Linked DNA regions of Struthio camelus. The protein of the gene in region 2 purifies or fractionates together with the protein of the main gene of each other region. This does not show direct contact. Links are inferred from orthologs where the notes say so. Each region holds a gene or a part of one and is shown on either strand. Other genes may lie near its edges.

Evidence for each region.
Region 1: the proteins of ASPH (region 2) and LRRC59 purify together in Homo sapiens (co-immunoprecipitation; 3 studies listed by BioGRID and IntAct, with this or other methods). This does not show direct contact. The link is inferred for Struthio camelus from reciprocal best matches to the Homo sapiens genes ASPH and LRRC59.

What each region holds. Positions count from the first base shown.
Region 1 is NC_090960.1:7,768,110-7,777,172, forward strand, and holds the start of LRRC59 (leucine-rich repeat-containing protein 59), read left to right. Parts: upstream 1-5,667; 5' UTR 5,668-5,785; coding exon 5,786-5,902; intron 5,903-6,305; coding exon 6,306-6,365; intron 6,366-6,519; exon of another isoform or gene 6,520-6,900; coding exon 6,901-7,059; exon of another isoform or gene 7,060-7,395; coding exon 7,396-7,500; exon of another isoform or gene 7,501-7,658; coding exon of another isoform or gene 7,659-7,673; intron 7,674-8,240; coding exon 8,241-8,313; intron 8,314-8,756; coding exon 8,757-8,930; intron 8,931-9,063. Other genes in the region: ACSF2 (medium-chain acyl-CoA ligase ACSF2, mitochondrial), read right to left, coding at 2,224-2,306.
Region 2 is NC_090943.1:134,400,480-134,409,584, reverse strand, and holds the start of ASPH (aspartyl/asparaginyl beta-hydroxylase), read right to left. Parts: upstream 3,355-9,105; 5' UTR 3,205-3,354; coding exon 3,144-3,204; intron 1-3,143.

The DNA.
Region 1 (9,063 bases), on a different chromosome or scaffold from region 2:
CATTTCCCCCCAATGTGGCTGCCAAAAAACAAGAGGAGACTGGAGAGAGTGGTCCTAGCGGACTGGAAAAACTGCAATAAAAGGGTGGCAGAAATTAACCCTGTTAGCTCTATCTCTACCTCTTCTTTACTCTTTAGAGCAACCTTTTGTAGGAAAGACTTAACCAGATTTTGATTTTATATATATATATATATAGATATTTTTTTTTTTTTGCTTTGGATTGAGGAATGGTAGATTTCCCAGAGCTTTAACAGAGCTTTCAAATGCTGGATTCCAGTTGACTTTTTCATTTTTTTTCCACTAAGCCCCTTTCCCTTCTGTACTCCTCCTGCCAAAAGGATGAATTGCTTGCTGCTAAGAGCAGAATTTAAGAAACATTTTTGTTACTAGAAAGAGCAAGAGTTTAGCGTGCCCTGCCCCCACATTTGATTTTTTTAATGCAAATACTTTGTGTTCCTGCTCCTCAGTTTTTTACAGTTCTGGGCTGCAGTCCAAACTACAATGAATTTACCGCCTTGCCTCTTGATACAGTTTCATAAGAACAGATTTTGGGCCTGCAGTCTTGGCTCCACATGGGCACCAACCACTTCACTCCTCATCTCAACCCCAGCTGAAAACAAGCACCTAGATGCTGCATGTGAAAAGCAAGATTTGCTCCTTACAGCTCTTGGCAGAGTTACTCCCTGGAAACCAAACCTCCCTGGACAGAGTTATCTGGAATGCCAGTTAATCCTCCAAAGCCTCTCCCATCCCAACTCAGGCATTTTTCTGCTACTGTCCTTTCCCACCACCTTCTCCCAGGAGGCCATGTTGAACAAAGGCAAGGCAAAGAACTGGCTGGATCCCCCAAACCCCAGCGCTCTGCAGCTCCTCAGTGGCTGAGACCTGCTCCCACCCCAGTGCCCCACGTCACCCAACCACCAGCTGCACCCCAGGGAGCCTCTGCATGGCCACAACGGCAGTGACAATGCTAGGAGAAGGCCATAAGTCGGAGCGGCAAAGGGGGATGGAAAAGCTATTTGATATGCGATTTCACATGACTGCCGTTGAGATTAAGCTGTCACACGAGGAAAGTTCAGCCCAGGACACATGTCCATGTCCTCTTTGCATGCTGCACAGGAACTGTCCCTGACCCTGGTCCCTGCCCCACCAGGCCTGGGGGTCAGACCAAGGGATGCAGCCTGTCTCTTGCCACTTTGGAAGGATCTTATGGGAGCCAAGAGGCAGCAAAGCATGCAAAGAGTGAAACCTCTAGCACCCCTGAGCTGTTTTTGGCCTGTTTGCACGTGGCACTCACCTGGCTGGGTACCCACATCACTCTGAACCTGCCCTATAGACCCCCAGGCCCTATAGCTCCCCACCCCCAGTCACCCACAGCCTTCTGTCTCCTGTCCCCACAGCCCCCCCATCCCATCACACATGGTTTCTCTGTCATTCCCCATAGTCCCCCATCCCTTGTCCCCAGAGCCCCCCATCCCCTGTCCCCACAGACTCTGTCCCCTATAGCCCATCCCACCACGCACAGCCTCCACTCCCCATAGCCCCCCATCCCTGGTTACCCACAGCCTCCCATCCCACCACACACAGCCTCCACTCCCCATAGCCCCCCGTCCCACCACACACAGCCTTCACTCCCCATAGCCCCCCATCCCACCACACACAGCCTTCACTCCCCATAGCCCCCCATCCCACCACACACAGCCTCCACTCCCCATAGCCCCCCATCCCACCACACACAGCCTCCACTCCCCATAGCCCCCCATCCCTGGTTACCCACAGCCTCCCGTCCCACCACACACAGCCTCCACTCCCCATAGCCCCCCATCCCACCACACACAGCCTTCACTCCCCATAGCCCCCCATCCCACCACACACAGCCTTCACTCCCCATAGCCCCCCATCCCACCACAGCCTCCACTCCCCATAGCCCCCCGTCCCACCACACACAGCCTCCACTCCCCATAGCCCCCCATCCCACCACACACAGCCTCCACTCCCCATAGCCCCCCATCCCACCACACACAGCCTCCACTCCCCATAGCCCTCCATCCCCGGTTACCCACAGCCTCTGCCCCCATAGCTCCCCGTCCCATCGCCGCCAGCCCCCCGTCCCACCACGCACAGCCTCCACTCCCCACAGCCCCCTCCCCCTGTCCCCAGAGTCCCCCTTCCCTCGCTCCCCGCAGCCGCCGCCTCGCCCAGCGCCCAGCGCCCCGGCCCTACCTGCCGGGCCGGGCGCCCCGCGGCCCGCGCAGCAGGGGCAGCCGGCGGCGGGGCAGCGCAGCGAGGCGGGCCGCGGCGGCCATGCGGGCGGCGGCGGCGGCGGCGGCGGCGACAGCGGGCCCGGCCGGCTCCCCGCGCCGCCCTATACGGCGCAGCGGCGGCGGGCGGCGGGGGCGGTGCGCGCCGCGGCCCGCCTCGGCCCGCGCTCGCCCCCGGGCGGCAGGGGGCGCGGGGCTCCTGCGAGCCCGGCCCCGCGCCCCGCCGGCCGTCCCTGCCGCTAACTCCTTTTATTTTTCCGGGCTGCCCCAGCAGCCTTTTTCTGCCTAGCCCCAGATGCTGCACCCCAGCCAGGGCCTTTCCGTGTGGCCCGAATGAACCCTGTGAGCCTGGCTGACGCGGACCTCGGCGTGAGGAATGAAACGGGCTCGCTGTCCAGGCGGCCAGCACCCGTCCCCTCTGCTTTCCTTCATCTTCATCGCCTGATGCCTGAGCCCCTGGGAGTCCTGAGCCCCATCCACTTCACCAGCGCGGGTACCACCTAACAGCCTCAAACTCTGCCTTCTCCCAGCGGGCTGCTCTGGTGAGAGGAGAGGCCAGCTGGGACCTGCACACCTTCTCCCCAGTGGGGCAGGCTGAGCTGCCCTCACCCGCGGGAAGGGCAGGAGCAGGCGCCCGGCCGAGGAGCGCTGCGGCGCTCAGCTCCCTCGAGCACCCAGGCGCAGGAGCAGCGCTGCCTCCGATGCAGCAGCGCTGACACTGAGGGACAACGGGTGACGCACGCGTTGTTCTGAGTGTGAAATGACAGGCACCCTTTCCCAGCATTGCCTGCAACCATGGCAAAAAGCTAATTAATTCCCATGAAAGGGCCGGGGGATAAAGTGGATCTCAGAAAACAGTGTACACCTTTTAAATACCATAGAAGCATTCACTAAGGAGTTTTAGCAGCTGGGCGCTAGCCTGAATGCGGGCTCTGTTTCTGGCTCCTTTACTGACCTTGCAATGTGATCTTTGGCTAGTTATTTTGCAGCTCTTTGCTCTTTTTAATTCGGTCTGCCTAGGTGGAAGCTAGAATTCAGCAGAGAGACACTTTACAGTGTGTCTATCCCATGACTATTACAATGGAGCTTATGAACAAGGATATCAATTTTGGCCTCAGAATTGGTGTATCCCTGACATCAAAGCCAAAAATACGCTTATAAATAACAGCCACACAGTAAAATGCTGACTGCATAACCGAACCTCACGGTTCAGATAGTTGGTTTTAGAATCGGGAGGGATTTTCCCCTGACACATATCTTGTTCACAAGGCAAGATGAGTTTGTTTGGTGGCAGCCGTGATAGCGTTCTATTTGGTTGGGGGAAGGGAGATTTTTGACTTTGAAGAGTGAAAAATTGGCCATGGCTGCACATGGGACACTGGGCAAGGCAGGTCAGCGCTGTGAAGAGAGTCTGGGAATCTTCTCAGGCACTCAGGGCCAAAAATTAGATTGACAGTGTTCATCCAGCTTCATTCAGCAATTCCTCTCCCTACTTCTCCCTCCATCCTTCCTCCTGCAAAGTGAACAAATATGCCCTGATTTCTCTGTCTCATGTAGGTTCTAAGACTTTTTAGACATGCCCAGGTAAATATATTGACATGTGCCAGTCCCACTAAAATCAACAGATAGGAGAGTTTATGGATTTGTGTAAATGATGTAAGGCCATCTGACGTTCATGGCCAAAAGTCATCCCTTCACTATTTCGGCGAAGCACAGTGCAATTACATTTATTTGTATTGCAACAGCATCAAAGTGTGCTCGGTGTTGTATAACCACAGACGAGAAGAAAAAAAAAAAAAAGTGATCCAAAACCCCCACCTTTAATAAACAAAAATAAAGCTGAGTTTCAGTTTGATCTTCCCACATTTAGAGGATTAGCCTATGGGGTGAATCCCAGATACATATTAAACCAAGAATTATGCAGAAGTTACAAGGGTCTAGATTTCAGACGTTCCCAGTCATCTGCAGCATTCCACATACAAAGGCCTTCTCTATACAGGTACAAGATCTGCCTCAGGTCTCCTCAAAACGCCTGCGAGTTTTGCCCTCAGGAGCAGGACTGTGTATGCCCCTGCTAAGACGGCCATGGTGCCTATCAGGTTGAGGAGGAGGCAGGGGACATGTGAGTCCCACATTGACTAACATGGGAGTGAGGCAATTGACTGCCTCACTTGGGTGCCCATGGTGGGAGATCTGGAAATGCGAGATTTCCCCACCGGTCCCTGGCTCAAGTCTTCCTCTGGCCTTTCAAACCTTGTTTTGAAAAGCTGAGGGAAGAGAGAGATTCTTGCATAACTAGACCTCGCTTTTCTCAAGTGTGAGTTCTGCAATTTCAGTCACCGGTGGGAGGCACAATAACCTGCTCCTAGCAACTTCTCTAATCTCCTGAATGAGAGTGCATTGATCTTAGGCAGCCTTTATTAGACTCTGTGGCAGATCCTTGTTTGCTATTTTGTGGTGCCTTTGCTCAGAGACTCCAGAGATCTTGATTATCTCAGCATTGTTAAGACACCTAGCGACAGCTTAAAAACCCTACTCAAAAGTATCCATGGGGTAGATGTGCTGAACTAGTTAGAAACATCTTTGCAAGGTCCAGTGCATCACATTTTGCATAGGGGTCAAAAAATTCAAGGTTAGCATTCACTGCAATCCCATTACTGGGTAATATTAATTTGGCTCTCCCTCAGCCTGCTTTTCTCTTTCACTGACTTTCTCAACAGTGGGTCAGTCAAGGTGAAAGAACACTTTGATTGTGCTGTATCCGAGCTTCCAGATCAAAGCAGGAACATTACTGCAAATTCCTCCTGGTAAAGAGAGACATCTTGGTATAAGCCAACAAAAAGCCAGTCCAGCACTCAGTAATTATGGAGGCTATGAAGAGCAGGAAGCAACAATGTCTAGTATTTGTAAAGAAAGCATGCATGAATTGGGTTTTGTGTTCATATTGGGATTACTGCTCGTTAAAGGCTTAGTTTTTCATGGGACATAGTGTGAACGGTGAAATGACAAGGTGTAAATCTGACCAGCCTGTGGGGTAGCAGTGAGACATCTTATTTATTCTCTGCATATGAATCACAGAACGGCCGAGGTCGGAAGGGACCTCTGGAGATCATCTAGTCCAGCCCCCCTGCTCAAGCAGCGTCACCTAGAGCACGCTGCTCAGTTTCAAACGTTTCAAAGAGAAGGCCACTGGTCAGACGATGACCTTGCAATCACCGAGCGAGTAGGGCAGGAACCAGGAGAGGTGCAGCGGCTGCCTGCGTCGGGAGGAGCGATGGGCCGGGGCCGCCGAGCCCGGCGGCGGGCCGCTCCGGGCCGGCAGGGGGCGCGCTGCGCGGCGAGGCGCGGCGCGGCGCGGCGCCCCTCTGGGCGCGGGGCGGCTCGTCGGCGCTGGCGGGCCGAGCGCGGACGTGGACGCGGAAGTGGCTGGCGGGGAGCGGCGGCGGGGCCGCGCCGCGCTGCCCTCCTCCGCCCGCGGCAGCCGCCTGCCCGGCCCCCGGTGCCGCGGAGGGCGGGGGGGCGCCATGGCGCGCGGCGGCGGCGGCGGCGCCGCCAAGGGGGTGAACCTGAAGGACAAGCTGGACGGCAACGAGCTGGACCTGAGCCTGTGCGACCTGAGCGAGGTGCCGGTCCGCGAGCTGGTGAGCATCCGCCCGCGGCCGCGGCCGCCGCTCCGCGCCTCAAGAGGCGCCGCTAGCGTCTCCCGCTGCAGCGAACGAGCTGCGCACCGCAGCGGCAGTTGTTCGTCACCTGGCCTGCAGGCATTTAAAATACCCGAGACGAGGGTGTTCGGGCTCTGCGAGCTAGATGCGTAGCCTCAGCGTCTGCTCCATTTCCGAAGCAGTATCTTTTAAAACCAGAATTGTGAACCAGGGCTTAATTAAGATGAAACGTCATCTCGGTGGCAACTGCTGAGGAGTTCGCAAACTGGCGTGGAAGAAAACAAAACAAAACCAGCATGCTAGAACGTCACTGTTGTGTATACATACATACACATATATACATATATATATAGCTTGATCTAATTCTTTGTTTCTCTTTCAGGCTGCCCTTCCGAAAGCTACTATATTGGATTTGTCCTGTAATAACCTAATTTCTCTGCCGGTAAGATGCTAGGGAGCCTTTGTGGAGATGAGGCAAATCTGTTAGGAAATAATATTTAAAAAAAAAACAAAGTCCTTCAATAGAGATTCAGTAGGAGGTTTAGAACTAGCACTTCTCTCATTCCTGGGTTGGCTGAATGACAAAACCATCAATTAAGGGTTAGTATTAATGGTAGTTTTTACTGAGGCAGGCATAATGCAATAAGAGAGAAAAAGCTGAAGATCCTTTTCCCTGCCAAAGGATCCCTGCAACTTTACAAACCACTTTCATCAGCAATAGAGGCTCAGTTTTGTTTCAGATATATTGCGGCATATCACCTTGTCTAGGAAACAGGGGTGTCCCACTGTTTTCTACCTCTGTCTTCCAAGGCAGAGGAAGAGGGTGATTTTCCTCCATCACACAGTTTTGTGTTAAGGATTATGGCTTTATCACATAAGGTGAAGGATATTTCGACACACTCTCAGCTGGGGTTCCTTTGTAAAGGTGATGCCAAGCTGCTTCTACTTTTGTGTGTGTGTGTGTGTCTCGGTTTTAGTCGGACTTCTGTAGTTTGATGCATCTGGTGAAACTGGATTTGAGTAAAAATCGGCTTCAACAACTGCCCTTGGACTTTGGCCGCCTGGTCAATCTGCAGCACTTGGACCTTCTGAACAACCGTTTAGTCACCCTGCCAGTCAGCTTTGCACAGCTCAAGGTAAAACCCATTTGCTAGGCAGTTACGTAAAGCCTTGGGAGGCAGTCCAGGGTCTTGTGATTCTTCTCAAGTTGTTCTCTGGTAAAGCATCGGTCCTGCTGGCTACCCATTTCAAAATTAATCTGGGCTCTGCACTACAGCTCAGTGGAAATTACCTCACTTCTACTGAAGCAACTTCTGCCTGAGCTCTCTACTTGTCCTCTGTATGTGCTTCATTTACGTGAAAACTAAGTAGCTCTTTGCTACCGCTTTGTATCTCTTGAATAATCACAAGACTACTGTGCTCTGTGTGTGCGAGCACTCTTACAGCCTCCCGTTTATCGTTCCTTTCTGCAGAATCTGAAGTGGCTGGATCTGAAGGACAATCCCCTGGATCCTGTTCTAGCTAAAGTAGCAGGAGACTGTCTGGATGAAAAGCAATGTAAACAGGCTGCTGTCAAGGTAAGGAATCTGCTTCCTATTTTATTCTTTTTTCCCGTACTTGGATTTGCTGGTTGCTGTTTTTCCTCCGATTGCTTAGCATGCTGGGCTGCTGCTGCAGCAATTTGAAATTTCTTCAGTCAGTGAGGAGCTGGTTCATTGGTAAACATGCAGTGACTTCATTGCTTCTGCGCCTGTAGTGAGCAAAGACTGAGCTAAGCAGGATTCTTTTTCATTACTGGGGTTAAGAGTGTTGAATGCTGGTAGCTAGGAAAGCGGAGGTACATTTAAACAAAATAATCCATGTCCAGGCTTACACTCCAGAGTAAAAAATCTCTCGCAAAGTTCTGGCAAACTACAAGCTCACATAAATAGTTGCTGCAAGCTGTGGAGCAAGAATAGTTAGAGTCTGGGTCTGTGTTGCTGCCTTGTCATACTATTACTTGAAAGAATTCAGTCTCATAAAAGAACAAGTGTTCTGTGATCCTCTGTGCTAGCTAGCACCAGTTTGCCTTGTTTGTTTTCTAATTAAAATATCTTTCTCTTAACTGTAAAGAGTAATACAGGAAAGTCAAGAGAGTTCTCTTTGGAGCCAGACCTGTAAGGCTAAGTCAGCTGTGTGCAAATTTATCGGATTAGTAATCAGTCCCAGCTGACTGTCTTCTGCCAGTCTTCACCTGCGCTCTTAACTGTTCTGTTTTGAAATGACTATGCAAAGAACCTTCTGCATACGTCCCATATTGTTTTCTTGGACCTTGAAGGTACTGCAGCATATGAGAGCTATCCAGTCTGAGCAGGATCGAGAAAGGCAACGGAAGCTCCAGGCAGAGCGAGGTAGGCATAAAGAGCCCTCAAGCGCTCTCTGCTGAAGACTATTCCTGATCTCTCTTGATGACATACCCAACCATACTGATTGCCATCTAACAAATATCTGTAACTACCAGAGTTCTGAGGACCCAAGGAGTATTAGGGGAGGAGGGGGAAAGATAGCTTGGGATAACTCTGTGGTTTCTTGCCTGGAAAACAGTTAGATCCCTCAAGGAAACGTGCTGTAAGTCACCTATAAAAAGTATGAAGGAAAAACACAGGATTTATTTTAAGGGAAGTGTAAACTTGAGGGAGCAAGATGAAAGGCATATAATATTTTAGAACAATAATCCAGGGTACTTATTTGATTGTTTCCTTATTCCAATGGGGAACAGGTAAGCATGTAATAAGGAACAAGGCCATGACAACCCTTTATATAAAGGGAAAAAAACCCTTGTATTAATCCTCAGAAATGGAGAAGAAACGTGAAGCAGAACAGCGTGCAAAGGAGGCTCAAGAGAGGGAACTGCGGAAGCGAGAGAAGGCAGAGGAAAAGGAACGCAGAAGACGGGAGTATGATGCTCTGAGAGCTGCAAAACAGGAGATGGAAAAGCAAACTAAAAAAGAAACCGTTCAGACCCGAAGTAAGTTGCATCCACAGTGGGTATTCTGTAGAGACCATCATGTAATATTTTAATCTGTAACTTGAGCACAGCATAGGAAAAATAAGTGGAAGAGAAGGAACAAGACCACTGCCCTAGACACTGCATCAGCCTT
Region 2 (9,105 bases):
CATAAAACGAAAGACACTCACACAGAAACATGAATATAGATGCTTAACCCTCAGCACTCTTACTGTTGCAAGCTATCATATCTGATAAACTCATTCATATTTTTTAATCCATCTATACTTTACAAGAAGTTAGGCTGCTGACCCTCACTCTTACTGGAAAGCTTCCCCAGAGCCATCTCTGAATGCTCTGAACATTTCCAAATGTAACCGCTTCATGGAAGTTATTCATAACCAACCGATACACCTTTGTTCCTATACCAAAACTGTCCTTCATCTCATGAAGTTTTAAGTAATATCCAACATAAGTATCCACTGCTTCATCCAGCTGTCTGAAACTTCTCCCTTTTGAGAAGCCACAGTTTTCTCAATGGGTTTTGTAGGCTAGTGACAGGAAGCCAGACTTTCCGGTAAAGATAATAATGAACACATGCTCTCCTGCTCTAAGTACCCCCAAACTGTCAAATTTTGACACAGTTTTTGCTTCTGTACCCCAGATTAAATCATTGGCATATAAATACAATTTTGTAAATGCCACTTTCAAAGAAAATTTTGCTACTAGCAGTACAAAGCTCAAATGCAAGAAGAATTTTTTTTACTAGGCCTATCTTAGGATGGTTTTTAGCATATGATTTTTTAAAGCAAGAGGTAGAGTTCTATTTCTAAAGAATTCAATTCCACTTCTGTCATTTCAATGAATCTGAAAACAGTTTTCTAAACACTACAATTAGTACTAGTTCAGATTTAGAAATTCTAAGATTTACATCAGCATTTTCTAATGTGGATACCTAAAAGCAGATTACTAAATTCAGATTCAGGCACCTCCTTAGGTGCTGAGATTTTTAGATGCACTGTCATCTTCACTGGTTTCACAGTCATGAGCAATGCCTTGGCAAGAAACCAAGTCCTCTCCAATGAACTGCTGTAAAAGTGATTACTACAGTACTATCAGGAACTGCCTCAGACTTGAGGTTTGCATGCTTCACAGTCTTAATTACTGGACATTTCAAAATTATTTCCTCATTTCATGTTCACAGCTCTCAAATGTGGAATACTTATTGGCTGCTGTGAAGACCGTCTGCTCCTCTAGCTGTTCTTCATTCACACAGGAATCATCATCCATTACCTCTTTCTGCAGCTGCATGGTATTCTTAAGCAACTATGAAAACAGCATCATCTTCATGCCATAATTTCTACAGCTGTCCAAGGGATTTTAACTAGGAGTAGCTGAAACTAACAAAATATTGGTCTTAATTTACTAGGTTACATTCTGGGATTGTGACCAACACTTAGACTCACACTGCTTTACACCTTTATATATAGCAATAATGCGTCCTCTGTGCAACTACACAAATTAGGTACTTTATTACAAACAGAAAAAATTTTGCTCATGCTGAATATAAAAATCTATATAATACTTTTATACTCAGTCAGAGACTTAGATTGCTGATAAATTTATTTTTCAAATGCTGACTAACCTTTAAAGTGATAATGTCTGAATCATTTGCAGTATTCAAAATTGTACAAGGGATGCATGTTCTTAATACATTCTTATTGGAAATCTGTATTTGCCATGCTGCTTAATAGTAGGTGACGATCATTTGACTCATGAATATCAAATAGTACCGCTAGTCCAGGAAAAAGTACAATATAGACTCTACAGCATATGCCAAAAAGGAGGACCTTATTAAAAATAAAATTAAAAAAAATTCTCTGAACCACTGTAACATCATCTCTGAACTCTTTCACGCTTAACTGACATTTGAAATCTTTTTCTCTCAATTCACCATGTGATTGGTGAATTGGTCCTATATGTTCATCCTTTCATTAGCACTGTCATCCATACTATTGCTGAAAGGGTAACAACAGATACTACTTCAGTGTCATTACAATTTGTCATCACTAGGGCTCTGTGCAAGTCAAGCTCAAAACCAAATAAGTTATAATTAGCAAGCATTCTAATCTTTGTTAAAATTTCCTTTAATTACTGTAGTATGCATGATTACACAGTGACTTCCATAAGTATATACTTTTCTCTCATTAAAGTATATTCTATTCTTAAAAAAAAACCTAGTGCATACAAAGTATTCCATACCTAAATTGTCAATACATACTACCTTATTAATAGTCAGATTTGCCAAGCTGTTATTTATTCTAGGGGGTGGGAAAGGGGACTAATAATCAAAAAACCCCTTCTCTCTGCATTTTTTCAAGATTACTCCTACCTGCTTCTGCACTTAAGTGAACCTTCGAGTTAGATACTACATCTATGATAGATCCAACAAACTTAGATCAGAAGATGTCCCAGCATCTGAGTTTAAACACATGAATAACAACTGCTTCACTAGCATTGGAGATACTGGGCATCCAGGTTCTGCTCCAGGCCTCCGGAAGAAAAGATCAACGTGCACTTCCCTGCAAACCTGAGAAACCCACAGATGTCAAAGACCCTCTCGGGGCTGAGGACCCTGCCCATCACTCAGCCCAGCCGTTCGGGGCGGGGAAGCTTTCGAGTGGTGCGCCTCCACCTCCTCAGCCAGACCAAGCAAGTTTCTCCTCCGCTTAAATTCCTGAGAAGGGGGACGACCGAAACCCGAGCAGCAGATCTAAACCATCTGTTCCCGCTTCGCGCTGCCTCCAGGAGCTGACACGCAGCGCATAGGGAAGGCCGAACGCGCGCGGGGCCGGCGAAGCCCCCCGGCCCGGCCCGGCCCCCCACCCCTCCTCCTCCTCCTCCTCCTGCCGGGCGGCCGCCCCTCGGAGGCCCGGCCGAGCAGCCACGGCCCGCAGCATCCCGCGGGCAGGGCCGGCGAGCGCGGGCGTTGGACAGGGGCTGGGGAGGCTCCACCGCTTGGCGGGGGCAAAGCGAAGGCGGAGAGCAGGGCGCAGCGCGGCCGTGCTCCTCCTCGCCTCCCCCAGCGGGCTCGCCCCCGCCCCGGCGGGCAGGGGCGGCATCGGCCCCCTCCCCCCCCCCACGGCGGCGGCCCTACGGCGGCGGCTCCTCGGCCCGCCGCCGCCCTTCCCCGCAGCGCTGCCCTACTTCGCGGCGGTTACACCCTCTCCCCACTTCCCTCCGTGCCGGCTCGGCCCGGGAAGCTCCCCTCCGAGGCGACGGCCCCGTTTCCCGTCCGCTCCGCGCAGCTCACCTCTCTTGGAGCCGGGGCTGGGGTTGCCGCCGGCACCTTTGGAGCCCTTGCGCGAGGCCATGGCACCTCCTGTCAGGTAGCGAGAGGCAGCGGTTGTGCGCGCGCGCGCGCGGCGGGCGTGGGGGTGGGGCGAGCGGGGCGACGGCGAGGATGAGTCAGTAACCGCCGCCGCCGCTACCTGGGCGCTGCGTGCGGTAGAGTCCTGCGGCCGCAACCAGCGCCCGCCGCTCCCCGTCCTCCCGCCCCCCCCGCCGACGCCACCCAATCGCTGAGCGCTCCTGGGGAAGGAGGCGGGGCACTGCTCACCTCCCATTGGCGGCGGGGGCGGGTGGGGGGCGGTGCTCGGCGGCGGGGGCGCGTGTCCGCCACGCTCCCCTCGCCGGCGGCTTTGAACGTGGCAACATGGAAGCGAGCGGGGGCGTCTCGCGAGCGTTCGGCCGCGGGGCCGCGCCGGCGCGCGCTCCGCCGGGGGGAGGGGACGAGCTGCGGTGCCCGGCTGCCCTTGTCGGCCGGGGTGGGGGTGTTCCCCCCTCTCGCTCTGCGGGGGGGCTCAAACCGGCGGGCGGGCGGCGCAGGCAGAGCGCGGCGGCGACGGCTCGTGGCCGTTAGTCCTCGTGCGTGTGGGCGCGCGGGCGGCGGTTACAGGCGCGGCGCCGCGGCCTCGGCCTCGGCGCGGCCTGCGGCTCTGCGGGGGAAGTGGAGGAGCGCGGGTGCCGCGGGGGAGGCTTTCTCGCCGCTCGAGTACGTGGTATGTGGGAGCCTGCGAGGCGGTGGCCGCGGGGCTCCCCCTGCGCGGGGCGGCTTTGCGGCGCCGGGAATGGCGGCTTGCGAAAAAAACAAAGCGGGCTAAATGGGGGTCTAATGCTTAAGCACTTGAGACGCTGCTTAAAACGTCTTGTTCTGTTTCTCTGGCTGCCTTCCGCTTTGTTCAGGTGTTCGTAGCTCACCCGTGCGCAGTTTATGGGAAGCAGCTCGTTCACTCTTTCAGATAGCACTTTTTCAACCCATGGGGTGAAACAGTTTAAAGGATGTTGCATTAACAGATAAATTCTCAGAAAAAGCTTGTCAAGTCTGAAAAATATTTCAAGCAGCCTGTGACAAAATCAGTGGATTTTTTCTTAGTTTGTTTTTAACAGAAATTCTGAATGCTTCTTGTTCCTCAGTGACCTGGGATGAAACTTAATTAGAAAGTAGTGTGGCATAACAGCAAATTCCTTCTTGAACGACAGCAACAACTGAAAAGCTCCCTTTTGAGTCCTGGCCATAACTATAGTTTTTCAGATAAAAATAAGCAATGTTGAAAATTAGAGCTTTTGAAAATAACTGTTGCAGGAGAATGCTTTCCTCAAAACTAAATCTGACGGTTGGTTTTGAACTGAGTAACACAATGGATCTAACTGAAAATAATCATTTGCTGAAGAGCATTAGGCAGTAATTTTTAAGGAGATTTGAACCTAAATAACTAACAGGATGGCAGTGCTGGTACTCTAACTAGAAAAGATGAAAGCAACTAGTTCTATGAACATCAAAACTAACAAAGCTTACTTCTTGGTATCTATTTCTCATGTGAATAAACTGATATCTAATACAGCTGAGTAGCCGAACTTTTCATTTGCTTATAGTACTCTACCAAAACCTTATTTTCATGCTATGTTTCAGGGCTTGATATAGATCTATGAGTCCTTTCCTATAGCAAGGCAAAAAACTGGCCAACAAATTCCAGAGTTCTTAGGGAGAAGCAGACATGCTTATAAACGCACAAAGTTTGTCACAGGAATGCTGATAGGATGAATTATTAGCATTTGAGCAGATTGGGGAGGTGCAATTTAAGAAATACAATGTTTTAAGAATGCAATTCAAAGTAGTCTGTAATTCAGATAATTCATAGCTGGGTTTGTTGAAAATACATAATTAATAGGAAATAAGTGCTTATATGGCCATATTCGTGCGTGTAGTTCATACAAGGAAGATGACAGTGTTCTGACATTAATGAGAGATACAGTTTCCTGAAGCTATACTATGAGAAGGAGCAATTTAGTAAGAAAAGAGACATTAAGAGCATTTAAGCAACTGGGTGAAGAGTGACACTTAGAAAAAGAAGGCTGTTGTTGTTGATTTACTGTGAACTGTGAACCAAACTTACGGCTGTAAACAGACTGTAAAATTACTAGTCGTGTTTTCACTGGCATTCAACTGCCAGCATTGTGTATTTAGTGTATTCTATGCCTTCTAGTACAGTCTTCCATCAAATAGATGCTCTTGCAAGAGTAGAGCATGCACACAGGTAAAAGTGCTTATAACAATATTGAATGTTTATGTTCATTACTACCTTTCTGCATGATGGCAGTGATTATAATGAAATCTTGTGATTCAGTCTCCTGTAGACAGGAATTAGGATGTCTTTTTTTCCTCCCGGTGCACAGATAACTCCAGACAACTGGAGAAGAATACTAGTTATGATGAGCCACTGTCTTGTGGTAGTTAGAGAATCTTTTTGCCTCATAACTCTGCTCATGTACTCAAAATGTGATCATCAGATATGATTTTGGAATAAACAGCCTTTCAGATCAAGATAGCAGAAAGTATTAGGTCTGGTTTATCTACTGGGGTTATCTGAAGACAATTCAAGTACAGGCTATGTGACCCGTTTCGTGCCACTGAAGGAGCGTGGGACAGCAGTTTGTGGATGCTTAGTTCTTTTAAATTTGCTGGGCTACTGTTGGGAGAACTAGAAGCAACTTAATAGTATAACTTGTAGCAAATGATATGATGATCTCTTCTGATCTGAAATCTAATGAAAATTAAAGCAAATGTAAAAGTATCATTTTGGAAAAGAATGGAGACAAAAGAGAATAGCATGTGGGTAGGTGGATATGTATGGGAAAGCTTGTTTCTTTTCTTAATCAGCTGAATTCTTTTACTACTAAATATTTACTACATTGTAACCATGTGCAATAAACCACAAGAAGATAAATATCATTATGTTTGTTTATTGGAGGGAAAGGAACAAGGCAAAAAAAAGAATGTAACAATGAGGAACAAGCAAAGTTTAGAGAGCAGAGGTAAAGCAGACAGCAAAAGAAAAAAACAGAAAAACTAAAAAAAAAACAAAAAAAGTTACATAATAATGGCAAGGAGCAGGAGAAGAGAGCCCACTGCAGTCAGCTGGAGCCTTTCCACTTCGATCAGGCTCATTTAAAACAAAAGATTAAAAACTCCTCCCTGTTGGCCAGAACTCCATTTGCCCCTACACCAGAATATCCTAATTGCTAGTTGAGACTACAGATAACTTTAATGGAAATCATGCTGCATTACATAAATCATATGTTAGAAGACTGTCACCAATTAATGAGACTTGCTTGGAAAATGGATGCTTTGTTTTTACTGCGCAATATTTTTTCCATAAATACTTCTGCATTACTGCAGTTGCAGCTGTTTGGCTGGCCTGATTCATTCAATAGCACAGTGACTCTGCTGTCTGACAGGAAGAATCACATCCAAGGTGATAAGCAGAAGCAGCATTGAAATAACTACACAGGAAGAAGATTCTGTCTGTATTCTCTTTATTTCTAAACCAAGCACAAATATACAACCTGCCTGTAGCAGGGTGAACAGAGGCTGAATAAGAGAGGGAATGTTAATGTGGCGGGGGAGGGGGAAGTCACCTATTTAAAGCAACTATGAATTTAGCCCTGTTTTCTACTTCTTATAGGATAGTTGAATAAACTATTTTAAATGTGTTTGCCTATGCTATATGCAGTGCTATGACTTTATGTTATGTGTTCTATTGATGGATTTACTTCCATTCATGACTTTTATCTGAATTTGTCATAAAGCCATCTGTTCTATTTCCACTAGGCTGTAATATGTCTTCTGTGAGGGAGGTATAAGCAAGTCTAATTGAAAGCTTAGGAGCTAGTCCTTATTCTGTTGGTGTTCCTGAGCTATTTTATTCGGCTGTTGATCATTCTAACTGAATTACAGTTGTCTAGTAGATTATGCACATTTCTCATGAATAAATAAATTTCAATTGATCATCAAGGAAAAGTCAGTCCTCAAATAGAAGGGAAAGGTAGTTTTATGACTTAATGCATTGCAATGAAAAGAGATTGGGAATCTCCAGGATATGTTACAATTTAATGTGTTAAAAATTGTCTAATAGTCTAAGATTTTCAATAGAGAGCTTTAACATGTATAATTTTAAGGTTTTTGTGTGCCCAGATGATACTTCTTCCAGGATGTTTAGTCAGGAGGTGAGTAAACTGAGCACCTTGTTAACCAACTTAAAAATGTGTTGTCACCAGCAACCTTTGCGTTAAAAAACCGTCTTCGGGTTGGAATTTAAGGCACAGAGAGTTGTGCAGATTTCGATGTTCTCTGGATGGCCAAGTTGAGGCTTGAACAGCTTCCTGGTTTCTAATGGCAGACTACTGAGAATGAACATCCAGACATCTACAGAATTCACTAACTGCTTACAGAAAACCAGAGTTAGATATTTTGGGAAGACAGGGGAAGAGCAAGAAGGTAAAGAGTACCTCAGTTCCCCAAACCTAAATAACTGTATTAAAGTTAATGCTATTAAGTGATTCCATTTAAAACCAGTTTTATTTGATGATGCTAGCTGGTAGAAAATGGATACAAAAGCTGGCAGGCAAAGGAAGATACATTTGAAGTTGGTTACTCTCAAGGAACAAGTCTCTTTCACTTTTCTGGATTTTTTGTTTGTTTAGCAGTATTTCCATAACAATAAGCACTTGTTCTTAGATTTGTATGCTGGTGTATAATCTTAGAACTTTTTCTGAATAGTTGATGATAGTATCAAATAGAAAGTGGACCTCTGTTGGAGAGGAGTTGAGAAAGATGTACTTATCTGGAATGTAAGAGAAAAAAAAAAACTTGAGCCAGGTGAAGCAATTCTCGTGCAAGCAAAGGTAAAGTTGAAGGAAGTTTGATTTGAAATTGGTAAGGTAAAACATAGGCTATCTCTTATAAAGTCTAGATCTAAAGCCTATTCTTGCACTCAGCTGATTTATCTTGACCTCTCAGATGAGTAAATTAATTCGACTTTGAGCTTTGGGCCAGTAGGAAGGCCTAGGAGTTTAGAATTTGTTATGGCATTGCTGGACTTCTGAGTGTCTTACTGCACACTTTGCCAGGCATGATTCAGTTCAGCTAAACTGACCCCTGTGAGCATAATTACAGCTGAGAATGTAGCAAACTTCTCAGAACAAGGTTTTGCATCTGGTGATTGGATTTTGCATAAAGTGTGACGATTATTTGGGACTTAAGTGAGGCCTTCTTATCACTTCATATCACTATGCAGCAGCACAGGAATGTGTGGATTTCTCTCCTATAGCACAAGAGACTCAAACGATCAGGCGAAAGGTTCTTTGTACACGTACAACAGTTACTTAGAATGTATATTCTTGCAAGGACAATTAGAAGCTAGCCTTGAAAGATCTTTAAACTAGAAGTAGTACCTTTCAGGTGGTTTGTGCTCAACTGATGGAGCTAAAATAGTGCAAAATACAGTTTGGCTATAGATTAAGACAAACCAGGTTCAGTATTTCAACAGTCCTGGAAGAAATCCTCTTTAGAACGGCACTAAGGGAACGAGGCTTGGTTCTTGCTAGGAATAATAATGAAATCAGCAAGAAAAACAAGCAGAGGAAGGTACTTTACTACCCGTGTACTGCCTACTCTTGTTCTGAGGCTTAACGTTTTTAGTAATATGGGGAAAAGCATCAAAATCATCTCTAGCCTATAACTGCATTTGTTAAAATTGCTGCCCAGACTGCAGCAAAAGTAGTTGTGTTAAGTGGGTTATCTGAACTGAAAGAATTGCTGATCAGAAGCTTTGAGACCTCTAGAATATTTCCTCCCTGTCTGCCCCTGCAAAAAAAAAAAAAAAAAAAAAAGCAAGCCTGTATTGATCATTAATTAAGAGTTCTAAAGCTCAGAG